Linked DNA regions of Canis lupus familiaris. The protein of the gene in region 1 purifies or fractionates together with the protein of each later gene. This does not show direct contact. Links are inferred from orthologs where the notes say so. Each region holds a gene or a part of one and is shown in the gene's direction. Other genes may lie near its edges. The genes, in order: NFKBIB and POLR1E.

What was found.
Region 2: the proteins of NFKBIB (region 1) and POLR1E purify together in Homo sapiens (affinity purification with mass spectrometry; 3 studies listed by BioGRID and IntAct, counting the BioPlex papers as one, with this or other methods). This does not show direct contact. The link is inferred for Canis lupus familiaris from reciprocal best matches to the Homo sapiens genes NFKBIB and POLR1E.

The regions. Positions count from the first base shown.
Region 1 is NC_049222.1:114,998,366-115,009,436, reverse strand, and holds the start of NFKBIB (NF-kappa-B inhibitor beta), read left to right. Parts: upstream 1-5,549; 5' UTR 5,550-5,634; coding exon 5,635-5,813; intron 5,814-11,071. Other genes in the region: SIRT2 (NAD-dependent protein deacetylase sirtuin-2), read right to left, coding at 866-979, 1,223-1,271, 5,170-5,295. UniProt on the Homo sapiens protein: Inhibits NF-kappa-B by complexing with and trapping it in the cytoplasm.
Region 2 is NC_049232.1:54,123,641-54,134,723, forward strand, and holds the start of POLR1E (DNA-directed RNA polymerase I subunit RPA49), read left to right. Parts: upstream 1-3,309; 5' UTR 3,310-3,428; coding exon 3,429-3,504; intron 3,505-4,016; coding exon 4,017-4,120; intron 4,121-5,333; coding exon 5,334-5,410; intron 5,411-6,256; coding exon 6,257-6,342; intron 6,343-8,686; coding exon 8,687-8,745; intron 8,746-9,735; coding exon 9,736-9,880; intron 9,881-11,083. UniProt on the Homo sapiens protein: Component of RNA polymerase I (Pol I), a DNA-dependent RNA polymerase which synthesizes ribosomal RNA precursors using the four ribonucleoside triphosphates as substrates.

The DNA.
Region 1 (11,071 bases):
GGCCTGGCCCAAGAGAGGGGGGCTCAGGGCAGCAAGCCTGGACGCCTGAGCAGGGAGCCGGCAGCAGCTGGAGGACAGGGAAACGGGAGAAGACGTCCTCAACAAAAGGCCGTTCAGGACCCTCAAAGGGTCGATTGTTCTAGTTAAGGACTGCCGAGGCCCGGTTTCTCAGACTCTGATGACCTCAACTTGCAGCAAGAAATAGAAATGACGTGGTGACCTAGTGGAGAGGCACCTACATCCCACCCCTGAATCACGCTTCCTGTGATAGTCATCGCAGGGCACGTGGCTCTTGCTCTGCTCCGGGCCTTTTTTGGGGCATTTACGTTTATATTCACGGGTGGCACCCCTAAGAGTCCCATGGGGTGATTACTACTGGTATTGGCTTCATTCTGTCCAGCAGGCCTGGCCAGTCAGCAATGGGAGTGTGACCCGGGTCTGGCCAAGCAGAAACCCGGTGATTGGTTTAAGGTAGGAGTGTGATGCAACGTGGCCCAACTGGAACCAATCTTGGCCCTTTTGCTTGAACCACTGGAAGGAGGTGCTCGGCTGGTGGAATTGGCATTCGGTACTGCCAGGAGCCCCCTCCACCTCAACACAGAAAGCAGCACCAGACAAGGTTAAGATTTTCGACAATGTGGAAGCCTCTGAATCCAGCCATGCTTTTTTTTTTTTTTTTTTTTTTCCAGCCATGCTTAATGCTGGATTTCAGTTACAGGATCGATACTCCTTTTTGGGCATAAGCTATTTTTGAGTTGGGTTTGTTACTTGGAAGCAAAAGGTGTGATGGGTCAGGTGGTGGTGGCTGAGAAGCCACTTGGGGCCAGGAGCGGGGAAAGTGGCACGAAGCAGGGCCGTGACTTACAGCGTTCGCTCTGCATGTAGCGGGTCACCCCCTCCAGGGTGAGGTCGTCCAGCAGACGCTCCTTCTGGGTGCCCAGGCCCAGTGTCTGGGAGAAGAAATTCCGCAGGAAGTCCACTGGCCAAAAAGCAGAGAAAGAACATCAGGGTGGGTGTTTAGTCGTGGTGCACAGGGGCCGCGAGTGCCCCCTGCCCCAGCCCTGGGATCCCCCACCCTCCCGCAACCAGGGACCTCTAGGTGCTGGCATTGCACCTAGTATTGCATACTTTGAATGTCAACCGCGGTGGAGGTGACAGGTAACAACTATATCCCTGCCCTAAACCGCTCCCCCAGAACCCCTCTCCCAAAGAGGATACTTACTCTCTGCTTCTCTGCCAGCGGCTCCTCCCTCAGTATCTGAATCTGAGTCCTGGAAGAGGTGGGGGTGGGGTGACCAGGCCCCAGAAGGGGGGTTAGGGAGGGAGGAGAGGGGACGGTGGCACCCAGGTTTGGCGGGGAAAGGCTCTGGCTGGGAGTGGGTCCAAGGAAGTGAGAGGCGGTGGGGGAGCCAGTGTGCCTCGGCTCTGGGTTGGGCTGCCTGGGTTGGAAACCTGGTCCTGCGACTCCCGAGGAGCATAAGTTCTTTGCTGCTCTGAGTCTGATGCTCCTCACATGGGAAATGGAGCTCAGAGGCAAGGGCACAGACTGAGGGGCTATCTGAGATAACCGAGTCAACCCACGGAGGCGCTCAGGGCAGCACCCGGTGGGGTAAGAGCTCAGGAAGTGCGTGCAGACATGGCCCGGTGTCCACGTCCTCGCCTTGCCTCCCTGCTTGTCCCCCGTGGTGTGGGCCCACTGCCCTCCTCACCAAAGTCACTCCTGTGAATGATGCCAGTGGAAAGGCCTCAGTCCTCGCCCTGGGTCCTCAGCCCTCCTGCTGGAAGCCCCGGGCACCACCTTGCCATCTCCTCCATGTCATTATTTAACTTCTCCTGAGTCAGGCTCCCAGATGGCAGGTCTGAGACGGTCCTGGGCCCTCCCTCCGTCCTCACTCCACCTTTCCAGGGCTAGCTGCCTCATCTGTGCCCAAGGTCTTGGCCTAGGCACTGATCATGCCACCTCTTAGTCCCCAGATCCGAGGTTCCCACAGCCCCCTGGATGTCTCCCTCTAAGTGACCCCTGGCCTCTCTCTCCCACCACATCTCAGACTGGCCTTGGCATCTCTCCTAAACCTGCGCCTCCTCCCAGCCCCCAACTCAGTGTGGCTTCTGTCCCCCAGTCTTTGTCTCCCTCTCCTGCCCTCCCACCATCATGGGTCCCCTCCCTAGGGCTCTCCCTGGCCCAGCCTGTTCTCCCTCTGGGGGCCCGGTCTTGGCCTCCTCCCTAAGCTCCCAGCCTAGTCCCTACCTCTGATTGACTCTACTGCCCTCCGGGTGATGGCCTGGCTGTGTCAGCCCACCCCCTCCACCCCAAGCACCCCTCTCGCTGGCTTTTCCAGTCTGACCATCCGATCATCAACATGTATGGAGTCCGCCCTGATGTCAGCTCCAGGATGGCAGGGATTTTTCATGTTCACCAGTGGACGCCCAGCACCGAGAATGGGGTCTGGCCCCTGGCAGGAGCTCCAGAACTATCCACCACTGATCGAATGGATACTTGCTGTGCGCTACACCAGGGCTGGGCCCTGCAACGGACCTCACAAAAACACAATTCTGACCAATGCACTCCCCTGATTAAAACCCTTCCACCGACCCCGTTCCCCATCATTCTCCGCTCCGACTCCAAGCCTTTTTTTAACAGGAACCGCCCTTCCAAATATATTTAAAATTTTCTATAAGCTTTGCAAAAGCTTTGACCATTAGACGATGTACGACTTGAGGCACTCGCATCCCGTTCCCACCGCAGTCACCATAACCACTATTAACAGTACAGTGGTAATTACTCTAGATTTTTTTCTCTGCATATAAAACTCGTTATTTTTCCAGAAATGGGTCATGCCACAGTACAATGCTGCACCTTGCGTCTTCCGCAGAACAATATACCATAGATCCACCTCATTCTTTAAAAAAGCTACATAGTGTTGCATTGTAGGGATGAGCCATAGTTCATTTAACCCGCCTACTGACAGCCACTTGGGCTGTTTCCAGGGTTGCCCCATAGCAGACAATACTGTAATTTATATCCTCGGATCTCTCTTGCTGGGACTGAGGATCCCTTTTTAACATTAAAACTTTCTGTGACAGCGGTTGAGCCCTGGGAGCCAGGCAAGGGAGAAGCCCTGGCCTGACAGGAAGCTTTCAGACCCTCAGTGTGGCCCTCTGTGCATCTGTCAGGTGCCTTCATCACAGCTTCTGTGCTGCCCTACATCTGAACAGCGAGCTCACGTCTGTGGGGGGTTGGCATTCTTTCAGGCTGCAGACAGTGAGCCTCTGTGGAAGGACTCGAGGGCCCTGCCCAGCATGTGGGAGCGACTTGGGCCTAAGGGGGAGCTGGAGGTGCTGGTTGGGGCCTTCAAGTCTTCGTGAGGTGGCCTGGCTACCTCTTCCTGAAGCGTCTGGAAGGCAATGTGCTGGGTGCCGTGGGTTGCAAAGCAGTCCCTGCTCTTCTAGCTGGGGGGCCAGAGGACAAGTTACAGAACAGCTCTGCTGCAGATTCCTCATCTGTGAAATGGCCCCAGTAGGCCTTGAACTGCCCCCCAACTACCACCACCACAGGGATTCTGGGAAGGTGAAATGCTATGATGTACACAGAGCACTGGGTGGAGTACCCGGCTCAATAAATGCTAACCTCAAATATAATTAGCTAACCACCCACAGCTACCAGACCATTGACCACATCACACCCTTCGTGCCCCCCTCCCAGTCCTGGTACAAGCTGTACACTCTGCGTGGAACGCCATTTCTCACTGTGCCTAAGAAAATTCTAAGTCACTCTTCACTTACTGTCAAGTGTCTGTACCTCAATCTGACTCCTGGACCGGCCTGTGGATTTGCCCTGGGAACGGACCGGCTGGAAACTGTTGACCCTCACAAAGTTTACTCTGCCTTGAGCTACTTTCATAATCACTCTGGAGGGTCATTTCTAGTCACTTGTCTGTGGGATCTGGGCGTTCAAGGACCAACTTGGATGCCTGTCTCTTCCATGCCCAGCATAAATGAGGTTCAGAAAGGTTAAGGGTAGGGAGCAAGGAAAGAGAAAAGTCAGGGAGGACAGGTCTGGAGTTGAGGGTGCACAGCTTTTTCTGCCAGTCCCCGGAATCCACCATTCCCAGGGGGCCGAACCAGGAGTGGGGGCAAGGGGCTGGGGTGATGCCCTGAGGGCCCTGGGGTAACTGTCTCCCCTCTGCCACCTCCACCCCCCCCAGAGTGTGGGGTGTGGGAACACGTCCATTTCTCTCCTTCCCTCCACCCTTCCCCAAATCTCACCTGAGCCTCCTGCACCTTCCCTGCCTGGGTCTCCAGAGGGTCAGAGGCTGGGGGAGGAGGGGGAGCAGACGTGGTTACAGTGCGGGGCACAGTTAAGTGGGGATGAAGGGCTTCAAAGCAGAGGGGCAAGGGGCAAGAAGACCCACCAACCTAATTATACTGGGGTGGGAGGTGGTGGTAAAAGCTGAGCAGAGGGAGGGAGGGGATGGGGAAAAGCAGATCTTATTAGGATAGACAGTGCTGTCTGGAGAAGTGGTTAGTGACAGACAGAGGCTGGGGCAGGAAGGTTTGGGAGAGGGAGGAGAAAGTAAAGCATACAGGCATGGAGGAAGACTTAGAAGTGAGGAAGCAAACAGTAGTGAGTGTGTGTGTGAGCACGTGTGTGTGCAGGGAGGGTTAGGGTTTACAAACAGAGGGAAGTTTAAAAAAGGAAGAGAGAAAACAAAATACGCTTAGCAGAGACAGGTTTAGGAAAGGAGGTGCAGTGGAGACAGCACGTTTAGGAGGGGCACAGGAACTAGAGGGACGAGACAGGAGGGGGCGCCAGGGGTCCCCGAGCATCCTACAGTTCCCCCTAACAACCAGGTACCCTTAGCAACCGGGGCCGCGGCAATCTAAGTCCTTAGCAACGAGGGTCCTCAGCAACCGAGGTGCGAGAAACACGCGGTCATTAGTAACTTAGGGGACGTAGCAAAGGACCCTTACAATCTCGCGACCCAGAAACCCACCAGCCTGGCAAGATGGATCACTTAGCAACGACCCCCCACCCCCGCCCCGATTCCCACTGGCCGCCATGCAGCCCCCGTCTCCAGCCCCACCACGCCGGTCCTCGGGCCCCGGGGCCTGCAGCCCTCAGCCAGGCCCCGGTGCGACCCGACCCTCCCACCGGGGCCCCCGACTCACGGTCCGGCTCGGCCATGGGCGCGGGGCGGGGGCCCTCGGGGCTGTCACCGACTGCTCTGTCCCGTGACGGCACCGGAAACAGGAGGGGCAGAGACAGGGCAGAGAACTACGACTCCCAGCAGTCATCGAGGATGCATACAGGCTTTTCGTCCAGCGGCGCCTGCCGCTCTCGGGCTAGGAAGACACGGACGGCGAGACTACGAGTCCCAGAGGGCTCCGCGCAGGCAGCCATGTTGGTAAAGGGCGGCCGGAAACTGTGGGAATGGGTAGAGAGCCGCAGTCCGTCTGAATACTCTGAATGGTCACTGTGTGGTAAGGGGGCGGGGCGTGTGCTCTTTAGGTCATTCTGATTGGGTGAGCCAAGGGGGAGTGTTGGGGAATTCCCCGCAGGGCGGAAGCGCCGGGGCTTCAGGCAAAGCCAGCTACAGGCGGGCGGCCGCTGGGGCCCCTGAGGCTTCGGGGGCCATGGCCGGGGTCGCGTGCTTGGGGAAAGCTGCGGAGGCCGACGAATGGTGCGACAGCGGCCTGGGCTCTCTGGGTCCCGACGCAGCAGCCCCCGGAGGACCGGGGCTGGGCGCCGAGCTGGGCCCGGGGTTGTCGTGGGCGCCCCTCGTCTTTGGCTACGTCACTGAGGATGGGGACACGTGAGTGAACCTTAGGCTGCCTAACGGGGCCCTAGGATCCCACCTCTGATTCCCTATTAGTCTCCTATCCCGGCTCCCTAACCTTTCACTCTTAAATCTAACTTCTGATGCTCGACTTTCTGATTTGTAACTCCTAACCTTTAGTAAAACCAATTTCCTAGCCAACTTTGACCCTAACTCCTTAATTTCTCCGACTTTCCTTTCTTGAGCTCTGCTTCATATTGCTCCACATCCCTATCCATTGATCCCCAAACTGGTTTTGATCTTCCCGACCCAAGTCCGGAGACCTTTGTTAGAGTTGTGGTCCAGACAGGCTCCTCCTCACCTCCTACCTCCAAATAGGATCCTTGATCCTTAGCCTCCTGATGGATGCGCCTTGAACTTAGATTTCCAAAATTAATACATGACCTTGATTCTTAACATTCTACCTTCTGAGCACCGATCTTCAGATCTTACATCCAAAGGGAAAACGTAAGCTCCATGATAGCAGGGATTGATGCCTGTTAAGTATTTGCTGAACACCACCACGTTCCAGGCACTGGTTTAGGTGCTGCGATAAAGCAGTGAGGAAAACAGACAAAAATTTCCGCTCTTGTGGAGTTTACATTCTAAGGTGCGTATGTAGACAGACAAAAGGACAGACAGGCTGACAGAAAGACAGGAAGGAAGGGAGGGAGGGAAAGAGGAGAGAGAAGGAACAAAAGAAACTAAGACACAGACGCAAAGTGAGAAAGAAGAGAAAGGAAAAGAAGAAACAAAGAAAAACGAAAAACAGTATAAAGGAAAGGCAGAAAAATAGTGTATCTGAAGGTAATAAGTTCTTTGGGGGAAAAATAAAGCAGGAAAACGAGATCCGTAGAGTATCTGGGGGAGAACTCTCCAGGCAGAAGGAACCAGAATTGTAAAGGGCGGTGAGGGATTGTCCTGGGGTTTTTTTGTGTATTTGTGTCTACTCATCCAGTCATGGTGACTAAACAGGGCTTGACCCATAAGAGGCGTGCAGGAAATATTGTTCTTTCCAAAGACCCCTGCTGAGGTTTCATTAGTTTTCTTTATTGGTTTTTTGCTTTCTATTTCATTGATCTCTGTTTTGATTTTCATTATTGCCCTCTTCGGCTTACTTTGGGTCTAATTTTTTTTTTTCTTTCTTTCTCTCTTTTTTTAAAGTTTCTTAAGGTGGCAGCTGAGATCATTCATTTGAGACCTTTCTTCTCTAACATTGGTGTTTCATGGTATAAATTTCCAGCAGCAGTACTTTAGCAGTCTCTCACAAATTCTGATATGTTGTGTTTTCATGTTCATTTAATTCAAGATACTTTGTAATTTCTCTTTTGATTTCTTCTTTGGCCAGTGGATTATTTAAAAATATGTTATTTAGGGCGCCTGGGTGGCTCAGTTGGTTGAGCTCAGGTTGTGATCTCAGGGTCCTGGGATGAGCCTCCCATTGGGCTCTGTGCTCAAGTGTGGCATCTGCTTGGAATTCTCTCTCTTTCTCCCTCTGCCCTTCCTGCTTATGCTCTCTCTAAAATAAATAAATAAATAAATCTTTTAAAAAGGGGTAGGGGGCAGAGGGAGAGGGAGAGAGAAACCCAAGCAGGCTCTGTTGGGAGCAGGGCGTGATCCCATGACCCTGAGATCAGGGCCTGAGCTGAAGCCAAGAGTTGGTCATCCAACCCACTGTGCCACCCTGATGCCCCTAAATAAATCTTTTTAAAAAAATAAATATGTTATTTAGTTTCCAGATATTTGGAAAGTTTTCCAAATGTCTCTCTTTTATTGATTTTTAATTTAATTCCCTTGTAGACTGAGAACATACTTTGTATGACTTGGATCCTCGTAAATTTATTGAGAATTGTTTTATGGTGCCACACATTATGCGTGCACTTGAAAAGAGTGAATATTCTGCTGTTGTTGGGTGTAGGGTTCTCTAAAAGTCAATTAGTGGTCCTATTGGTTTATCATTTTATATATCCTTACTAATGGTTTCTGTCTCCTTGTTCTATCAATTATTGAGGAGGGGGCATTGAAATCTCCAGCAGTCATTATGGATTTGTCTCTTGTTCTGTCAGGTTTTGCTTTGTGTAATTTGATGCTCTGTTATTAGGGCATGGATATGTAGAATTATTATGTTCTTTTGCTTAGTTGACCTCTTAATCATTACAAAATAACCTTCTCGATACTTGGTAATATTTCTTGCTCTAAAGTCTAGTATGATATTAAAATATTCACTCCTGGGCAGCCCCGGTGGCCCAGCAGTTTAGTGCCGCCTTCAGCCAGGGCATGATCCTGGAGATCCGGGATCGAGTCCCACATCAGGCTCCCTGCATGGAGCCTGCGTCTCCCTCTGCCTGTGTCTCTGCCTCTCTCTCTCTCTCTCTCTCTCTCTCTCTCTGTGAGTCTGTCATGAATAAATAAAATCTTAAAAAAACACAACTCACTCCTGCTTTCTTTTGACTGACTGGTGTTAGCACAGTATATCTTTTTCCACCCTTTTATTTTAACCTATCTTTTAATACCTATATTTAAAGGGTATTACTTGTAGGAAGCATATATAGTTGGGTTTTGCTTTTTTGTTCAGTCTGACAATTTCTGCCTTTTAATTGGAATGTTTAGACCATTTACATTTAGTTATTGATACAGTTATGTTTATCATCCTTTTGCTAATTTTCTACTTAATACATCTCCTTTGTTTACCTTTTCTTCTTTTTCTGCCTTCTTTTGGAACCTGTAAACCTTGTCCCGTTGTATTCTTTTTTTTTTTTTTTTTTAAAGATTTTTATTTATTTATTCATGATAGTCACAGAGAGAGAGAGAGAGAGGCTCAGAGACACAGGCAGAGGGAGAAGCAGGCTCCGTGCACCGGGAGCCCGACGTGGGATCCGATCCCGGGTCTCCAGGATCGCGCCCTGGGCCAAAGGCAGGCGCCAAACCGCTGCGCCACCCAGGGATCCCTATTCTTTTTTTTTTTTTAAAGATTTTATTTATTTATTCATGAGAGACACGGAGAGAGAGAGAGAGAGAGAGAGAGAGAGAGAGAGAGAGAGAGAGAGGCAGAGACACAGGCAGAGGGAGAAGCAGGCTCCATGCAGGGAGCCCGATGTGGGACTCGATCCGGGGACTCCAGGATCACGCCCTGGGCTGAAGGCAGGCGCTAAACCACTGAACCACCCAGGGATCCCCCATTGTATTCTTTTGTTGGTTCATTAGCTTTATGTATTTATTTAAAGATTTTATTTTTAAATTTTATTTATTTTGTGGGGGAGGGTCAGTGGGAAAGGGAGAGAGAATCTCAAGCCGACTCCCAGTATGGAATCCCATGCAGGGCGTGATCTCACAACCCTAAAGATCATGACCTGATCCAAAATCAAGAGTCAGACACTTAACTAAGCTACCCAGGCGCCCCTTAAGGTGTTTTTAAGTAATCTCTGCACCTAACATGGGGCTCGAACTCATAACCCCAAGATCAAGAGTCGCACGCTCTACTGACTGAGCCAGCCAAAAGTCCCTGGTTTGTTAGCTTTAACACTTCTGTTGATTAAGTGGTTGGCAAACTGGCTTCCAGGAAAAATCTAGCCAGCCATCTGCTTTTGTATGGCTGTAAGCTATGAATGGTATTTACATTTTTAAATGGTCGAAAAAAATCAAAAGACTATTTTGTGGCAAGTGAAAATTATTATGAGAGTCACATTTCAGACCCCACAGATGAAGTTCTGCTGGAATACTGCTTTGCTCATTCATTTACATATAGCTGGTGGCTGCTTTTATATCAACCATAACAGCAGAGCTGAGTAGGTAAAAGAGACACTAGAATCCACAAAGCGTAAAATCTTTATCTGGCCACTTACAGAAAAAGTTTTCTGACCTCTGCTTTATAGCTTATACTGTACAGCTTCAACTTATGATGGGTGAAATTTCGCATAGGGTAAAAGATAAAAGAACCTTAGAATAATATATTTCCATTTGTTCCCTCCTGGCCTTTATGTTCTTGTTGTCATACAGTTTAGTTTCACGTGTGTTATAAACTCCACCATACATTGTTAGTAGTTTTGTTTAAACAAACACTCAACTATTTTTTTTCAAATTACCTTCTAAAGGGACTTGTATTAAAAAAAAAGAGAGAGACATAATGAGAAAAAATCTTCCAGATTTACCCACATAGTTGTTATTTTCAATGTTTGCTATTTATGTGTATAGGCCCATGTTGCTGTGGGATGTCATTTTCATTTTGCTTGCAGGTTTCCTTTAACCTTTCTTTGGAGACAACTTATCGTCTGCTGTCGATAAGTTCCTTCGGCTTTTGTATATCTGAAAACATCATTATTTTGTCTTCATTTTTGAAAGATATTTTTGCTGGGTTAAAGGCTTCTAGGTTGGGGGCACTTGGGTGGCTCACTTGGTTAAGCATCTGCCTCCTGTTCAGGTCTAATCCCAGGGTCCTGGGATCGAGCCCCAGATCAGGCTCCCTGCTCAGCATGGAGGAGTTTGCTTCTCCTCCTTCTAACCCTCTTCCTACTCTCTCACTCACTCACTCACTCTCTCTCTCTCTTTCTCTCAAATAAAATCTTAAAAAAAAATCTAGGTTGAGGGATGTCTGGGTGGCTCAGGCAGTGAAGCATCTGACTCTTGATCTCAGCTCAGGTCTTATCTCAGGGTTGAGTGTAAGCCCTGTGTTGGGCTCCATGCCCAGCATGGAGCCCACTTAAAAAGAAAAAAATCCTAGGTTGAGTGTGTCTTTGAATACTTGAAAGGTGTTGCCCCAATCTGTTCCCCTGTCTAATTTCCTATATGACATCCACTATCATCCTTATTTTTATTTTTCTATAAAGTATCTTTTTCTCTCTAGCTGCTTTTGATATTTTTATCTTTTTTTAAAAAAATTATTATTATTATTATTTTTAAATTTTATTTATTTATGATAGCCACACACACACACACACACACACAGAGAGAGAGAGAGGCAGAGACATAGGCAGAGGGAGAAGCAGGCTCCATGCACCGGGAGCCCGACGTGGGATTCGATCCCAGGTCTCCAGGATCACGCCCTGGGCCAAAGGCAGGCGCCAAACCGCTGCACCACCCAGGGATCCCTAAAAAAATTATTTTAAAAAATTTATTTATTTTAGAGAAAGAGAGAGCAAGTGACTACATAAGTGCAAGGGAGGGGCAAAGGGAGAGGCAGAGAATCCCAAGCAGACTCCATGCTGATTGTGGGGCCCAAGTGGGGCTTGATCTCATAACCTAAGGTGAAACCAAGAGTT
Region 2 (11,083 bases), on another chromosome or scaffold:
TGCTAAATAATTAAACAACATAGGGGTATGTTACAGTCCCCTTCCTAGTCACCCCGCCATTAACACTTTGCTTCCCCAAGTAGAAGCGCTGTCACTTTGAATTCCTAACTGTGGTTATTCTGGGAGTCTTTACTCTCAATCCATGTGTGCTTTCTTCATTCTTCCATGTAGCCATAAAGCATCCAATTTTAAGGACTTTCACAGACTCGTCAGACTGGTAAACATGTGCCCAAAAGGGAAACAATCTTTTACAACAGCGCTTCCCAACCTTGAAGCACACACGAATCACCCAGGGATCTTGTTAAGTGCAGATTCTGATTCAGGAGATTTGATAGGGCTGCAGATTCTGCACTGCTGATGAGTTCCCAGATAACATTAGTGCTGCTAGCCCAAGAACCACACTTTGAGCAGCAAGGCTAAATGTCCTTATATTAAGAGGGTCAGGACACCTCTCAGCTACAATTGACTCCTTGTAGTCATGCTGTCTTCTTTGTCACCCCTTAACTTTGACTTAACTGTTCATGTGTTCATTCAACCAACCAACATTTACAGAGAATCTACTCTGTGTGAACCCCAATGCCAGTCAATTTGAAGCACGGTTAGTAAGCATCTTTGAGCTCCAGTCCCGGGATTCCTAGGATTTAGTGATGATTCAAATTCATTCCTTGCCGTGTCATTCATTCATTCGATATTTATTGAGGATCTACTTATGTGCCAGGTACTGTTCCGGGAGCTAGAGATGCACAAAACAATATATAAATTGGGATGCTTGGGTGGCACAGTTGGTTGGGCATCTGATTCTTGGTTTCGGCTTAGGTTATGATCTCAGGGTTGTGGGATTGAGCCCCATGCCCAGCTCTGTACTCAGCTCTGAGTCCACTTGAGGTTCTCGCTCCCTCTCCCAGCCCTTCCTGCTTATGTGCTATCTCTGTTTCTTAAATAAATAAATAAATAAATAAATAAATAAATAAATAAATAAATAATCCACAAATCCGTTTATTGCTAAACCCCCAACTTTATTGTTAGCCTCAAGTAAGTTTGTATCCAATAGGGGAGACAGGTAAATAATTAGGCAATTAAGCTCCTTCCCCCTTACCTTTTTTCCTTTTCTCTTCCTGAACAACTCAATCCAAAAGCCATTCAGTGATCAAGCAAAGTAGCTTTCCCCTCAGAGGTACAGGGGAGCCTGCAGTGGTCTAGAGCAGGGGTACTGGAGCCAAGCAAGATGAGAAGGTTATCCAAGCGGAAAGTGTGGCCTGGTACAGACTTTCTGAGCCCAATCAAGGTGAGAAGGGCATCTGGGCAGGGGGACACCCTGGTGAGGGTTGTCAGAGTCTAAACAGGATAAGGAGGGCATCTGCGATAGTTAATTTTATGTGTCAACTTGACTGGCTTCTAGGTGCCAGATTAAACATTATTTCTATGTGTGTTTATGAGAGTATTTCTGGATATTACCATTTTAATTTAATTAGTGGACTCCGTAAAGTAGACTGCCCTCACCAGTGTGGGTGACATCATCCAATCTCTTGACGTTCTGAATAGAACAAAAGGTGGAGGAAGAAGGAGTGTTTTCGGTTTTTTTCTTGCCTCATTTGTGAGTTGGAACATCTTGTCTCATCTTCTCTGATCATTGCGCTTGAAATTAAACCACTGGCAGGGTTCCTTAGTTCTCAGGCCCTCAGACTTACACCACCAGCTTTCCTACTGGTGTACACATGGCAAACTGTGGAGCTTCTCAGCCTTCATAATTGTGTGAACCAATTATTCATATTAATAAACCTCTCTCTCTCTAAATATATATATAGATAGAGATATCCTACTGGTTCTGCTTCTCTGGAGAACTCTAATACAGTATCCATGTAGTGGTCAGAACTTGGTTTAAGGTGTTAGAGCCTGAACGGGCTAATAATCACCCCCATGTCAGGTGATGGTGGTGGTGATAGTGATGGGAGATGTGTTAAAGGAGGACTGATCAAATAAGTAATATATTAACTAATGGAACCCAGGTTTCTCACTGTCAGAGAAGGAAGTTACAAATATGGGAGGAAGGAAAATCAGAATAAACTCTGTGGTGCTGAATTGGAATTAGAAGTCACTATGATCTCATGGTTTTCAATATATATGGATCTAGAAATTCTAAGTTTTAGAAACTTACTGTTAGTTGTGAAAGTGTGTTTACTTACATATAATCCCTAAGTCAGTTCATTCAGGCCTGGGAGCTGTGACATCCCCCAAGCAGTCCATACCTACTACAGAGATCTTAGTTTCTGAATACTGTTTCCTACCAAAAGAAACCAGAACTCCTTGGAGAAATGGGTGATTCCAGGGCTGGGGCAGGGAAACTACATGACAAATTGAAATATCTTGTGCCAGAAAGTAAGGACACGTTCAAAAAAATGATGTGGACATGTAAAAAGAACCCAGAAACCAACTTAACGGGGTTTCCACTGGCCCGATCTGATAAAACTAGAACTTGAAAATAGGTGATAGTAGATTCTAATCTATTGAATAAAATAGGAATCTACAAGTCCAGACTGATATAAATAAATGAATAAATTGGTAGTGCGATGAACAGGAAATTAGTTTCTCAATACCCACTCACAAAATAAGAGTCAGGTACAAAGGGAAATTACAAAGCAAAGAGAGTAATTTTACAGCAGGGAAACCTCTAACTGGTTGAAGTGGTCAAAGTTATCAGTAATCGGACAAAGAGAAATTGTGGGCCACCTAATAGGATACAGTGAGCATCGTATCCGTGATAGCCCTGCCAAAGGCGCACGCATAACCTGAAACTAGTCATTTGGAAACATTAGACAAATCCAGATTGAGGGACATTCTACAGAACAACTGGCCTGTAATCTTTAAAATTTGCAGGAACTGCAAATGAGGAACTGTTCTGGGTTGAAGGAAACTAAAGACCGTTGAGTAAATGCAACCTGTGTTTTCGGACAGGTTCTTTCTGCTGTAAACACTTTACTGGGACAATTGGTGACGTACTTTGTTGAGACTCGAAGGCGACCTGGGTAACAGATGAGGCCACCTGAGTTCTTGCCCTCAAAGATACCTGCCTTTGAATCCACGCTCAAAGGGTCCGGCTTTGGCCCTTCCGCTCTGCTAAGTCGCCTGATCCCCCACAACCCTCAACGCGTAGGCGAGCGCGGCGCCCCCGGGAGGCCAGCGGGGCAGAGGCCTGGGGCCCCCAGGGTTGGCAGAGAGAGTCCCCGCCTCTCCATGCGGCGGGGCGGGGCGAAGAGTGGGCGGGGGAGCGCGGCGGGGGCGGGGCCGCGCCGTGTGCGCACGCGCGGGGCGGGGCGGGGCCGAGGAGGCCACGCCTCTTCCGCCCCGCGGTTCTGCCGCCGCGTGTGGACCGCTAAGGCGCTCCGGGCCGAGTCTATCCGGGTCCTTAGCCTTGGCGGCCGGACCGGGAGATGGCGGCGGAGGTGTTGCCGAGTGCGCGGTGGCTATACTGTGGGCAGCCCGACGAGAGCCAGAGAGCCGTACTGGGTAAAGACCGCGGAGCCGGAGCCGAGTCCCGCACAGCTCCCTCCGCTCCCGTCTGGGTGCTTCTGCAGCCCTCCTGCCCCTGCCGGACCCCTTTCCCGGCTGGGCCAAGACGCCCTCTAGCCTCCGGCACTGCTTGGGACTTGGTCACCCCCCATCTCTCTGTCACCACCTGGATGGGGACATCCCAGGCAGCCTCCTCCTCAGGGCTCTCCCAGTCACCCCGTCACGCACTCACACCTGCCCCGTATCCTTTTCTCCACGGTCTGGGCTAGGCTTCAGCTGTTTAACCCTGGTCATCTCCTTCCGTCGCGGCCCTTCGCCAGCACTGCCCTCACCTCCCGGTCTCCTCTTCCCGACCGGCAGGGACCTCCTTCAGGCCCCCCTTCAGGCCTGGGCTTCCTTACCACTCCCATGCCTTCAGACGCTCTCTCCCAACGAACAGTCCGGTTCCTCCCCACCATACACACTGTGGGTCCTTCTACTCATCTCATTTTTGCGCTGCAATCTTACAGTGCAGTTCTCCAACGGGAAGCTGCAGAATCCAGGCAACGTGCGTTTTACTTTGTACAAGAGCAATGACTCCACAAACCCCAGGAAGAGGAGTCAGCGGATTCTGGTAAGTGCTGCGGGGGCCAGCTGCCTCCACTCTGCAGATTTCTGAAGGTCTTGGAGGCGCTTGGGTGTGGGTGGATGTGGGAGGGAGGGAGAGGAGAAAAGAGATAGCAAATGAGCCTTGGGAGAACCGTGAGTCCCAGCAGGTTGGGGTGTGGGGACAGGCTCCATTCATTCAGTTATGTACTTTTGGTGAAGTGATGACCTTTCATTGATCTATTCATTCAGCAAGCTTTTATTGAGCACCCACCGTGGCTGTGCTGTAAGCTGCACGGGAAATAGCGAAATGGGACTTGGCTCCACCCTGGGGGAGCTCCTACTCTAGAGCAGGGTTGCTCAGTCTTGGCACTATTGACATTTTGATCCAGATAATTCTGTGTTGTGGGCCAGACCTGTGCATTGCGGGATGTTCAGCTTCCCTGGTCTCTAACCACTAGATACCAGTAGCACCTCCTCTTTGTGACACCCAGAATTCCCAGAGGTGTCCCTCACGCCCCCTCACCCCCCCCCAACCAAGGGTGATTTGCTGGGTGAGAACAACTGCTTTCGAAAGGTGAGAACTGGTTTTGAGTTCAGTAACTCACACAAGCCTGCAAGCTCTGAGCCTGGAACGAGTTCATTTGAGCTCAGGAAGTCTCTGCTTGTCAGAAGGCCTTCCTGGGGGAGGACACATAGCAGCTAAGCTCTGAAGACTGGAGGACGGTTTGACAGCTGAGGTTCCCTATTCCAAGTGAAAAGGAGAGCAGGGACAAACATAGGGAAGCAGGAAAGCTTGGCTGTGATTGAGGAGTGAATTAGCTGTCTCCATAGTCCTGCCAGCATATAAGCAGCAGCCATGGGAGAGATGGACAAAGAAGTTCAGGAAGGCTTGGACTTTGGGCCCAGGAGGTTGCTGGCAGAACCATTTTGTTGCATGCCTCTAAGTGCTAGCCCAGGAGCTCTCTCCCAAGTCCTGTGGTATAGCTCCCCTGAGCACTTTTCAGACCAGCTAGAAGCCAGCACTATATGGGGCTTCCCTTTCAAAAGTCCTCTTGCCTTTCTCCCAGAGACACCCAGATTCACTTGGAGAGTGGGGCTGGATCACCTCCCAGAGGCTCTCTAGTTCTGATCCACTGTGGTTTGGATTCTAAAGCTTTTGCAAATGTGGGAAAGGGAGACAATATGCTTGATACCTCTCAACATTGGTTGTGGTGGTGCTTTTTCACTTTACATTTTAGGCAGCTGAAACAGACAGACTTTCCTACGTGGGAAACAATTTCGGGACTGGAGCCCTCAAATGCAACACTTTGTGCAGGTAGGGGTTGGGGAAGGGACAACAAGGGGAGGATAGTGGTGGTGAGCCTGGCACTGTTGTTTTCGGTCTTTATTTTAGGAGTCGGGGGCAAATCTGGAGAGGTTTACCATGTCCTTGGGTTCCCAGATCCAGGGGCCTTCACAACCAACATGCCTAAAAAGAAAAAATAAGTTAACATTTGTTGGATTTCCTAAAATCTCATTCATTTGTAATTTTCTTTAAGATAATTTTTAGGGGTGCTTGGCTGGCTCAGTCATTGGAGCTTGGGACTCTTAGTCTTGAGGCTGTGAGTTTGAGCCCCACTTTGGGAGTAAAGATTACTTTAAAAAGTCTTAAATAATAATTTTTTAACTGCGATATAACTTTACACTAGTTTTAGGTATATAATATAATGATTAGATATTTGTATATGTTGCAAAATGGTCACCACAATAAGCAGTCATCCAGGGGTGCCTGGGTGGCTCAGTTGATTAAGCCTCTGCTTTTGGCTCAGGTCATGATCCCTGCTTCCTGGGATCAAGCCCCATGTTGGGCTCCCTGCTCAGCAAGGAGTCTGCTTCTCCCTCCTCCTGCTCTCACTCTTTCTCTCCCTCTCAAATAAAATCTTAAAAAAAAAAAAAAAAAAAAAAGTCATCCACTGCCACACATATTACAATTTTTTTCTTGTAATTAGAACTTTTAAGATTTGCTCTCAGCAACTTTTTTGTTTTAAGAGCACAGAGGGAGAGGGAGAAGCAGGCTCCCTGCTGAAGGACTGTTAAGAACTTTTAAGCAGGAAAAAGGAAGTTGTAAAACAGTACTTTTTGAGGAATCCTTTGTCATTGGTATTATTCCAACTTTGCTCAGGCACTTTGTGGGAATTCTCAACAAGACCTCTGGCCAGATGCAAGTGTATGATGCTGAATTGTTCAACATGCAGCCACTGTTTGCAGGTAGGACCCAGTCACGAAGGCTTGCAAGAACACTGCATGTTTTAGGTTTGCTGGATGAGTTTGGTTTTGATTTGTAAAACACATTTGTTATTTTTAAAAGGGTGCCTTCCTGCAAATATTTATTGATAACTTACTTTGCTCCAGGCACAAGTTAGTGGCTAGGGATGTAGCAGAACAGATACAGGTCCTGTCGCTGCTATGTTTACAGATTTGAGATCAGAAAATAATCAGTTAAAGCCATTTGAGCAGGGTTGCCTGGGTGGATCAGTTAAGCGTCTGCCTTTGGCTCAGGTCATGATCTCAGGGTCCTGCTCAGCAGGGAGTCTGCTTCTCCCTCTTTCTCTGTGCTTGTGGTCTCTCACTCTCAAATCAGTGAATAAAATCTTTAAAAGGTGGGGAGGGAGACTAAAAGGTGGTGAGGGGGACGCCTGGGTGGCTCAGCGTCTGCCTTCTGGGTGGCTCAGGGGCTGCCCTGGAGTAGAGGCTTTAGAGAAGATGGGAGTTACTTAGAGGTTAGACAGCCCTTTTCATGTTGATGAGAAGTCTCTCTATACTTTCTAATTAGGAGGAGATCCATTTTTTCCCCTAATTTAGTGAGAGAGCTTGTACTGCTTCTCTTCTTTGGCATTTTATGATGCTCAGGGCCAGAGTGTGGGATCTTCCAGAATGATAGGTCAGAGGGTCAGACTCAAGGGGCTCCTGTTCTCTAAATCTTAAATACTGAGAACCACAGTGAGGGAGGGTATAGTTGAGGAAGGATTGTTAGGGTCACAGTAGATCTGCCTGATGCCTTCCAAGGCAGTAGTTCTGGCTTTATTCCTGCAGAGCAGTGGTGCCAGTCCTTTCAAGAATCTGAAGGACCAGGGGATCCCTGGGTGGCTCAGCGGTTTAGAGCCTGCCTTTGGCCCAGGGCGCGATCCTGGAGTCCCGGGATCGAGTCCCATGTCGGGCTCCCAGCATGGAGCCTGCTTCTCCCTCTGCCTGTGTCTCTGCCTCTCTCTCTCTCTCTCTATGTCTATCATAAATAAATAAATAAATCTTAAAAAAAAAAGAAAGAATCTGAAGGACTGGACCTACTTTCCAGAAACATACGTAATACGTAAGAATATATATGAAATTTTGCATATAATTGTAAAGGGCTCTGAGTCCCATCTGCGACTCTCCTAGGGGTCCAGAGTCTGTAGGTTAAGGACTCCTTGCTTTGCGAACAAATACATCTACATTTAAATTATCCTCCAGGGCAGCCGGGGTGGCTCAGGGAGTTTAGCTGCTGCCTTCAGCCCAGGGCGTGATCCTGGACCCAGATCGAGTCCCACGGGCTTCCTGCAGGGAACCTGCTTCTCCCTCTGCCTCTGCCTCTGTCTCTGTCTCTGCCTCCCCCTCCCTCTCCCTCTCTCTCTCTGTTTCCCATGAATAAATAAATAAAATCTTTAAAATAAATAAATAATCCTCCAAGTGCTCTTCTGACTTCCAAGGAGGCAAAGGAAATTGTTCTCAAATTTTTGTTTTTACAGGTAAAAAATGTGTAAATACTAGTTTATTCTAGCCAACATATATATACACGTACACACACATGCAGCATTTATTGAGTCCTTAACTATTTGTCAGGCACTGTTCTAAGTACTTTTAATGCACGAGGATTGTCATAATTCATGTGACAACCCTCTGGTGGTTCTATCGATGACGAAACTGGTACAGAGTTTGACAGGGACATAATGTTGATGTGTGTGTGTGTGTGTGTATATATATATATACACACACCTTTATATATAATTATAATGTGTATATATAAAAATATAAATTTCCTTTATCCGTCTTTATCTATCTATATGACCTGGGATTGAAACTCAGACAAGGCCACTCTAGAGCTTATACTCCTACCCTCTAGATTATACTGCCCTTATATGAATACTTTATGGGAGATAAGAGAGCTTCATGTAAGTAACACATACCTTACATTTATGCTTGCTTATCTTTTATAAGGCGGGCAAAACTATTTACTGCAAAGAGCCGAGGACTTGGTTTCTAATCCCATCTCGGCCACTGCCTGGTGAACTGACTTAGGACAAATCATTTCGTTGGGAGGCTTTTTCCTTATTTGTAAAATGAAGAGGTTGGACCAGATGACCCCTTCATTTGACTCCTTAATTTCTTCTCCATATCCTCCAACTGTATACTAAAGCGACAGACTAAATATTCATAGGATCCATCATGTTAAACTCTGGGAAGTCCTACAGTAAAGAAATCTGTCTGTCTTAGATTAACAGTGAATAAATATTAAATGCTATTATAATCTGGGCCTTACAGCTTCCTTTTTTCCTATTTTTGTTTTGTGTCTTGATAGATGAATCACTTGAGAGCGACTTGACACAAGAGAGTCAGGCCAAAACTTTTAGAGAAAAGGTAAGAATGACAGAAGTGAGACATGGGACCTGCCTCACGTTCCTTCTGTGCCTTGTGCTTCTCCATCAGGAAAATGAGCTGACTGAGCACAGGGCTGCTCCCAGCTCATTCTGTCTGTGGTTCTCCAGTCAGCCTGCCTGTGGAGGCTTCTCAGCTTCACAGAGCGCCGTCCTCCCGCCTGGGGCAGCTATACTCAGCTCCATCCCAGTGTTTGGAACTGATTCTCTGGGCTGACATAGGTGTAGTGTAACACTTGTTTTTGGATTGAATGCAAGTTTCAGAAAATTCTGGCTGTAGCCTGGAAGCTTTCACATTAAAACAGAGTAAACTTCAGGATTTTCAGCGTAGGTGGTTCCTATAAAGCTAATCTCACTCCAGGATTGCAAATTGATTGAGTCTTCAGTGCTGCCTGGAGCACTGTATTGAGAAGGTGTGAGGCTGTCTTCAGGCTCAGTGGGAAAGAGTGAGTGATTAGCAACATCTGCTATGGGTGTAAGGCTGGAAAATGGTAAGTTATGTGCCAGATTTACCAATCCTCATTCTGATCCAGGCTTTTCACTGTACAAATGGAGACACTGTTGATTTGTAAAGAGCCCATGACAGTTTCCAAAGCAAGTACTTCAGGGATCCCTGGGTGGCGTAGCGGTTTGGTGCCTGCCTTTGGCCCAGGGCGCGATCCTGGAGATCCGGGATCGAGTCCCACGTCGGGCTCCCGGTGCATGGAGCCTGCTTCTCCCTCTGCCTGTGTCTCTGCCTCTCTCTCTCACTGTGTGCCTATCATAAATAAATAAAAATTAAAAAAAAAAATTAGCCAAAGCAGGTACTTCAGATCTGCTAATACACCAGCCTGTGAGATAGAGAGGTATGATTTAGCCTGATTTATAGGTGAGGTAATCCTGGCCTAGAAAGGCTGAGTTTCCGCATGGTCACACAGCTAGGAGTAGTAGTGCCCAGACTGTCCCTACACAAACCAAATTTGTCTATGCACAGATGGATTCTTGCATTGAAGCCTTTGGAACCACCAAACAGAAGCGGGCTTTGAACTCCAGAAGAATGAACACAGTTGGCAGTGAATCTCTGAACTGTGCAGTAGCTAAAGCTGCAGAGAATATTATTGATGCGAAGGGTGTAACTGGTAAGCAGCTGGGACTTGGAGTAAGAGTCTGCTCATTGAGACAGCTTCCTTGTCTCTTGAGATCTCTTACCTGCTCCACAGATGGAAATAAGGGTGTGTTAGGGCTGGGTTCCTTCCTCACTCTCACTGAGCACCTTCTTGGGAACAGACTTTGGAAATAGTAAGAAACATCTGCCCTCAGGGAGCTCACAGTCAAGCGGAGGAGACGGGCATGGGAACGGGTATGTTTACACTGTGTCCTGAGTGCCAGGGTGCGAAGGGAGAAAGCCTCAGTGTCTGGGAATCACAGGAAAGTTTTGGACAAAAAGACTGATACGATGAAGTGAGCCTTTACAGATAGTGCTTCACTCTGGGATCAGTGGACCTTTTTCTGTTCCTAAATTCATCAGTAGCTTGAGTGTTTAATTGTATTGTTTAAAAGTGTATTTGTTCAAAAGCATTATGAGAACATAAGAGAAAGTTTACATAAGAGCAGCCTTTCTATTAAAATGAGGTTTTAGGGGATGCCTGAGTAGCTCAGTGGTTGAGCACCTGCCTTTGGCTCAGGGCGTGATCCTGGGGTCCCAGGATCAAGTCCCACATCGGGCTCCTTGCGTGGAGCCTGCTTCTCCCTCTACCTGTATCTCTGCCTCTCTTTCTCTCTGTGTCTCTCATGAATAAATAAGATCTTTTAAAAAAAAGGGGGGGATTTTAGGGGTGTTTGAGTGGCTTGTTGGTTAAGCGTCTGTCTATCTCAGGTCTTGGTCTCAGGGTCGTGAGTTCAAGCCCCACATTGGGCTCCTTGCTGGGCATGGAGCCTACCTAAGAAAAAATAAATAAGATGGGATTTTAGTAATTTTTAGAAAAATCTTTCCAAACCCTATGATTATATAAATATTTTCTTATGTTTTCTCTCCGTATTTTTACAATTTTACTTTTTACATATAAATTTTAATGAAGATACTTTTTTGCCATATGGTAAAGACCTTATATTTTCCAAAGGATTAGCCAGCTGCCCCAACTCCATCCTTTTCTTTGTAGAAGATGATTTAAAAAGCTATCCTTCTCACTTTAGCACATTCTGTGTTCTGTCCAACTGTCCATTCTGTTCCTGCGGGAACACCAGGCTCTTTTGATTGCAGTACCCTCATCTTCCTGCTTCTATTTCTGATGCGGCAAATTCCTCCTCTTCTCCTTCCCTCCTTATTTTTCACAAACGTTGGT